Oryzias latipes: one gene and its partner. The protein of the gene in region 2 purifies or fractionates together with the protein of the main gene of each other region. This does not show direct contact. Links are inferred from orthologs where the notes say so. Each region holds a gene or a part of one and is shown on either strand. Other genes may lie near its edges. The genes, in order: cdc5l and dnajc17.

Region 1 (3,683 bases), on a different chromosome or scaffold from region 2:
GCTGAGGACCGTGTTGGGCGTCTGGATCTGCTGCCGCTGGGGCGTCACTCCGCTGAAGTCGCTTTCGTGCAGAGGCGTGTTGAGCCCCCCCTTCAGAGGGGTGTCAATGTTGGTCAGAGCCATCAGGTTCTGGGCTTCCTAAGGCAGATTTAGGAACATGTGTTTCACACGGCTCTGTGGTACAGACAGGTTCATCACCAACAGCATCGCTGTTGGCTGCCGGAAGTCCCTGCAGCACATCGTGGGAACAGCTGAGAAGATCCTCGGTGTCCCCCTCACCGGCCTCTCGGACATTTACCACCCGCAAAGCCATCAGGATTGAAGGTGACCCCTCACCTCCATCCCAGAGACACTTCAGTCTGTTTCTTAGCACTGTTGTCACTTTAAACCAGGGGTGTCCGACTCATTTTCACTGAGGGCCACATCAGCATAGTGGTTGTCCTCAAAGGGCCCGATATAACTTCTACATGTAACTAAATGTAATGAAAAATAAATGTAACTACTCCTCAATGTTAAATAACTCATTTATTCATTGATTTATTATTACTTTTTAAAGGGACAATTACAGTTGCATAGACAACATATGGTTGCTTGTTACTCTAACACAGTGCTTCTTAAGGTGCCAGGGGGGGCGCGCAGTAGTAGTGGTTTTAGGCACAGGTAATATGGGCAATTGTCCGGGGCGCAAATTTAACGGGGGGCGGTGGTGACAGCAGCTCAGTGCTTGAAAAAAAAATCTGTGTCACTGTTGGTTTCCTGATCTGTTCTATCAGAGTTTGTAACAGCCTGAAACTGTGAACTGCCGTCCCTGCAGCTGCTCATGTCTCCTGTCACACGCGTGTGTGAGAAGGAGAGGGGAGGGGTAGTGGGCTCAGGCTGCAAGTGGAACACAGCACACAGAGAGCTGCCTCTATTGCCCAACACAAGGATCATCACGTGCCTTTAGCTCATGCTAATAATGTCATTCTTTATGAACTATTGTAGACATTATGATGACGTGTTTTTATTTTCCATCAATGTTTTCTTTGTCTGCCTGTTGTTTAGTTGGTGTCAGTATTTGACATGCAGACAGCAGGTAATGCAGGAAAACAGCGTCACAGATCATAAATTATCCATCATTTAGAAATAAAATCAGAACAATGTTTTTATCTATTTCCTCAGACTAAAAACATTAAATCTATTGGTGCTGCTGTGTTAATGTTTCAGATCAATTTACATTTAATATTATTGATTGAATTCTTTTTCTCAGCATCAAATGGTTCAGTTGATCAAAATGTTTCTAGTTTAAATAATAACTGACAGATTTTTTATTTCAGGCTCTTTAAGCTTCTTTTCTGTTTTAGACTAACAGAGTTTCTGTGGCTAAAGAAATATAATATTTGTTGAAAATGGATTTACATTGCTGTTTTCTTTTGTTAATGTTAAAAAATACAATTTTAGGTATACTTAGACAATTTTTATAGATACTAACCTAATATACCGTCACTGCAGCAAGTGTGTGTGTGTGTGTGGGGGGGGGGGGGGGGGGCAATTATTTTAACTGGGGGGCCACATTGGGTTCTAAAATTCAATAGAAGGGCCGGACCAGGAGCAGATGTGTGGAGTGAGAATGAAATAACATGGAATGTAGATGAAATAATTTGAAAGGAAAATGATATTCTAAAGCAGAATATTCTACAGTTTTTAGTTTAAAACTTTTGTTCCCATTTTAGACCTTTTTTTTTGTGAAGCTCTTTGGTACCTTCAAGGAGTTATAAAGTGCTGAATGAATAAAGTTTCATTCATTCATGATCCTTTTAACAAAATAAATAACTGATCTTAAAAAAAACACAAAAACAACAATAAATAGTGGATCTTCTCCCGTCATTATTCTAATAAAGACTTTGAGGCTGCAGCTCCTCACGTCTCACAGTTTGTGCTAAAGCTGAGCAGCTGTGTCCTGCACGTCTGTTTCTCATCCAGTAATCCTCATTTATTGCAGGAGTTACATTCTAAAAATATAAATAATAAAAAACCGTGATCTATGAAATCCACAGAGAATGATTATAGACGTTTATGATTTATGGCAGTAAAACTCCCCACTGCATAAACACACTTTTCTCAGACAGACATGAACATTTTCACCTTGTCTTTTGTTTAATTTCTCAAACCTTCATAGAAATTAGATCCAGGATCTTATAAAGGAAAACAATGATCTGATCGATCACAGATTTCTGATCTGAAGAGCTCTGCGTTTCTGTTCAGGAGACACGGCACGGAGGAGATTGATTGACAGGGTCTCCAGCCAATCAGGACACAGAACGGGGTGCGCTGTTTAAAGAAAGCAGCATGATCGCTCTAAAAGAACGAGGTAAACCGGGAAAGATGAACTTGCTGTTTTTATCCTTATTGTTATTTTTATAGGCTGCTCTCACTGTGGGCTGAGAGAAAGAAATCTCCTCTGTGCTGTTTATCACGTGTGTGCAGCATATTGACCAATAAGCTGACTTTGACTCATCTCACAGACGGGAGCCACCAGCAAGTTAAAGATTGCACCTCTGGCACAGGATAACCCCCACAGAGGGGGTTTTGTGGTGTCAATGCTCCCCCTGCTGTTTGTACCGTGTTGTCATGAAAGCAAACTGAGAAATGCAAACACAACCCAACGCCATGACGATAGTGGGAGGAGCCACGCCAAAGAGAACCCTGCATAAACATTTCAACAGAGAAAGCCACTGTTCCACAGAGCAATCAGTCCAATCATTAAGAAGCTAAATGCAGCATATCTGGGCCTGGTTCTTCAGAACCAGAGAACATCCAGAACCCCCACCCCCAAATCAAACAGAAATCACCTCAGATTATGACACAAACAAGGCAAAACCTCTGCCTTCTTCAGATACCTGCATTATCCTGTCCTGAGCCGCAGGGGTGCGAGGGGTCCGCAGTCCGGCAGCCATGTTGTTTGTGATGTTGTACTCTGACAAAAGGGCGGAGGAGGCGGAGTTTCCACTTTCACTCTCCTCGGCAGCCTGGCGTGCCACTTCACTGGCCACACCCAGTTTGACCACTTCCTCCAGCTCAGCATCACTGATCTACAAGAGGGGAGTCTAGTCAGGGTGTGTGTCTGTGTGTGTGTGTGTGTGTGTGAGCAGGTCAGTGTGGTACCTGAGGTGCAGGTAGCACTAGCTTGGAGCGTTTCTTGGTGAACTCTGCCACGCCGCTGGTCTGAAGGATGGCAGATGGCAGGTCGCTCTCCTTCTTCTTCTTTATTTTCTGTTTGTCTTTCTTCCGGTCCCTCTCTTCACGCTCACTGCATCAAAACAGCACAGGTTGAGTGTTTTTGGCTCATGCCTTGCAGTGCATCAAACCGTGCAGGTGGGACTGACTTGCGTAGTTCTCCATCCAGGTGCTGCTGTCGCAGCCGTTTGAAGTTGGGCTCCAGCGCTTCGTAATTTTCCATGCTGGTGTCATAGAAACCCTTCAAACACATCAAGCACACAGCTTCAGGTTGTGCTCTGCTGTTGTGGGTTCATGGGTTGTTGATGGGAGCTGGAGCTCATCTGACAGTACCGGAGCGGGCTTCTTTTCAAACGGGATTTCAGCATTGTAGTCCACTCCTCGCTTCTTCTTCCTCTTCCTCGCAACAGCAATTCCTGCTGCTCTCAGCTCCCTGCGTTTCTGCAGGGCAGCCAAACGCCTGCAGC
Region 2 (3,826 bases):
GGCTTCTACAGGTGCCAGCACAAGGAGAAAATGTGCAAGTGAACTTTGAAAGCTTGATAACTTTTGGATATGTGGAAAAGGAACAGAAAAATTGCTATATAAAGATGGTTTCTAAACATCTGTTTTGTCAAATTTTTTATGTTAGCCAACATTCAAATTCCTAAAAAAAAAAAAGGGTAACAAAAGTTTTAAAAAAACTAAATCCATGTTAAAACTCACAGATTTTTTAGATTACACTATATTTATCCTAAACTGCATAATAAACATATTCTAATACCAGGCTTAATACTGTCCAAGAATTCATAAATAAAATATGGTACCAGCAGTACAAGTTTGAAATAACTCTAACAACAGAAAAAAAATCTTCTTTATAGTCAAAAGCATATAAAAGACCAAAAGCTGTTGAAGCGGCTGCTCCCAAAAAAAAACCTTACCCGGCTTGATGTGATTGCATCTATAGCATCACATGGCCTTAATGCTTCCATACAAAGAATCCTTTCAATGGAAGAACCTTTCAAGCCCCAGTAAACCAGTGGAAAAAAACAACTCAAAAATGTCCGTCTTGCATCTGGTTCGTGTTGTAACAATGCTGCAATGACTCTGGAAGGAAGAGACATGCACTGACTTAATTCCATTGCATTAGATTTCCTTTAAATAATTGATGGTAAACTGCACAGTAAACCATGAAGCCACTGATTTATGATGGCATCATCTTTCTGGAAGCCATGACTTCAAGTCTGGCAGGGACATAGCAGACTGTCAGGCTATGGATCCACGTTTATGAGAGTCTGAGGGTTCCGTCACAAACTGTGGAATCCACAGTTTGTCAGGCTTTCAGAGACAGTTATACACAGATCCTGGAAGAGATTTTACTTTCATCCATTTTTGCGACCTTTACTGATTTTCTGAAGGCACAAAGGCCACTTTTATTTGAAATGAACCAATTTCATACATCAATTTTAGCTGTTGGTTTCTTTACTGAAAAATGTGATTAATAGCGAAATTAGAATTTATTTTAAAAAAATATTAAGAATTGATAGGACCTGAGGGCTGCACGGTGGTATAGTAGTAAGCATTCCCCTCACAGCAGGATGATCCTGGTTCAAAACCCGGCAGGCACCTTTTTTGTGTGGAGCTTGCATGTTCTGGAGGCACTCTGACTATTTCCACAGTCGAGAAAAATGTATTTTAGGTCAACTGGTGAATCTAAATTCTCACTAGGTGTGAATGTGAGAGTGTGTGGCCCTGCGACTGGGACTGGTGAACCACCAAGGGTGTACCCGCCTTTGCCAAACAGCCGGTGGATAGGCTCCAGCAACCCGGTCTCCCCAAAAGGGTTTGATTGGGTTTAGAAAAACGTCAGAGAGGTAAGAACTGAACTGCAAATAAAACTAGAAGAGGCTGCATTTCCAGAAGAAAATGCAGGGTTGAATGCTATACTGCTGAATAAAAATGAAACGTAAAGGGCAATACTTGGCACACAAAAAAATAGAGAGAAATAATCAAAGCTGACCATAAATAAAGTGAAAACAACACAAAAACAAAAAAGATACTTCTGTAAAAAAAAAAAAACAATGCGATCGCCAGGTATCGAACCAACGAGCTTCTGCGAGGCAAAAGTTTTCAAAGGAATTCCCCATGTATTTCAATGGAGGCAAAAATCCTGGAAATCCTGGAATATCTTGAAAAGTTCAATGATTTGAAGGACCACAAGTCATAGCTGGAAAAAGCTGAACATTTTAATAGTTGAATGGTTAAAATAGCGGAAAATTGTAGAAAGAGTTAAGTCCAAAAATGGCGGAAGATGATATAATTAAGAAGGAAATAAAGAGAAACAGGAAAACAATAATAAAATGAATATTAGGAAAAACTATTGTTCCAATAATATTAATGCATATCGGATTTTCTGGAGGACTCGTGTCTAATAAAATTCTTTATTGTTTATGCAGATACTCCCAACTAGCATGACTCTTTAACTGAATAAGTAAAAATACTGACATAGATCGATATGTCCTCTGCTTTCTGAAAAAATAGAAAAAAAATTAAAGAAATAACTTTTAATAATAGGCTCTGTATGCAAATATTTACACTTCTAAGTACTCTGGAATCCTAAGTGAGTTTTGTCACATCTCTCCCCCACATTAAGTATATCCCTTAGCTCAAAATGTGTGTATCAAGCTAAAAAGAAAAGAAAGTTGAGCTCATCTGTGTCTCTAAGTTCTCTAGACTCACTTTGTCACCAAAGCTGAAGAAGCAGAACCACAAACACTAAGCTCGAACGCGCTTTCGCTGGCTAACGCTGAGGCACCAGGGAGGGATCAGATATTCAGATCCAAGATAAAGTCAAGAAAAGATAACTATGGCGTCTAATTACCTTTTTCTTTCTGAAATGACTCAAGCGTCCACTGATTCAAAGCCAGCTGTAGATGGACACATGCAATTTCTACAATATCGTGTGGCGCCTCTGAGTTGGTTTGAAAATTCCCCTAACATAGTAATGTTTTTGTTCTTGTTTAACTAAAGAAAAACACCAGGAAACCAAGTAACTATAGCAACATTTAAAAAGGATTCGTAAGACAAGTCCCAGTGCTCATACTCAGTGTCAGGCTCTAACCTCAGGCAGGTGGTCTGACGCCACACACCGAGTTGAAGGGTGAAAACCCTTGCTTGCATGTGCAATCCTCATCCTTAAAGCCAAACAATCTAAATAAATTTGGTAAAGCTGGATGCTACTTCCTATTAAACATGAAAAGTTGCTCTATTCTCAGTGGATCCCGTTGAGATCAGTTTGTCCTTGGACAGGAAAACACTGTGTCAGCCATGTAATATAGATATTTTAGGAAGGAAATTATTTCATTATTGATTTTTTTTAAATGACACAATAGATAATTGTGATAAAGAAGAATTACAACAAAAACGGACTCAAAAGAACAGAAATAAAAACCCTGACAACAAAATATTATAACACGAGAATCAATATGATGAATGAGATCACAATGTAAAAGCAGCAGTTTTCATAACTAGCATTACAAGTATAAACCCACTTGGCATCAGCTGAGACATTTAGTCAGTCTCACATGCCAGACATCCATTACTGCAAACTGCCTTCTGGGGCTGTTGTGCAGAGTGAAGAATTCCTGGGGTCTCATAGGTTATTTCCATTAATGAGCGGCCAACAAGGGATTGTGGGCCAGGGCCGAGCCCGGTGCCTCCCGACCCCAAAACAAATAAACTGACGTTCACTTACTCAAAGATTGCTGCGCACGGCCTGACGAGGCAACTGCAAGCCCTGCAGCAATGTTTTCACAACTGATGTGAGAATAAAAACCAAAAGATAGCACAGCTCTTGCTGTGGGTCAAATTTGGAGGCGAATGGGGGTATTTGATGTGCTTGGTGGAAGAGAAAGACAGTAAAGCGTCACCATGTTCAAGAAAGTACCTGTGAGGACAGAAACTGGCCCGATTGAGACGCCTCAGCAACTGGCTCGGGTTTCCCTTCCAGCCATGAAATCTTTATGGGGTTCCCACTTAAGCCACTTTCATTGCTTAAAGCCAGCTCCTATAAGAGGACAAAAGTGTCAACGAATGCTCACATGGATAATCTGTTGGTTTTTCAAATGAAAAAAAGCTCAATTTATCCCAATATTTCATAAAGGATGTTTAAATTTACATAAAAGGAGCTTTTCCAACCAAAAGAGGATTGTTATCAATATTATGATATGATATTAGAGTTTGTACAACAGAAATAAACTTAGAAATGTTGATGCTTTATGTGGTTTAGCACATTTAAGGTAACCATTTCTTGCAATTTTCGCTGTCTTTTGCG

What was found.
Region 1: the proteins of dnajc17 (region 2) and cdc5l purify together in Homo sapiens (affinity purification with mass spectrometry; 3 studies listed by BioGRID and IntAct, with this or other methods). This does not show direct contact. The link is inferred for Oryzias latipes from reciprocal best matches to the Homo sapiens genes DNAJC17 and CDC5L.

The regions. Positions count from the first base shown.
Region 1 is NC_019873.2:1,350,916-1,354,598, forward strand, and holds part of cdc5l (cell division cycle 5-like protein), read right to left. Parts: intron 3,677-3,683; coding exon 3,550-3,676; intron 3,458-3,549; coding exon 3,366-3,457; intron 3,290-3,365; coding exon 3,145-3,289; intron 3,072-3,144; coding exon 2,880-3,071; intron 139-2,879; coding exon 1-138.
Region 2 is NC_019880.2:14,608,560-14,612,385, forward strand, and holds part of dnajc17 (dnaJ homolog subfamily C member 17), read right to left. Parts: intron 3,560-3,826; coding exon 3,440-3,559; intron 1-3,439. UniProt on the Homo sapiens protein: May negatively affect PAX8-induced thyroglobulin/TG transcription.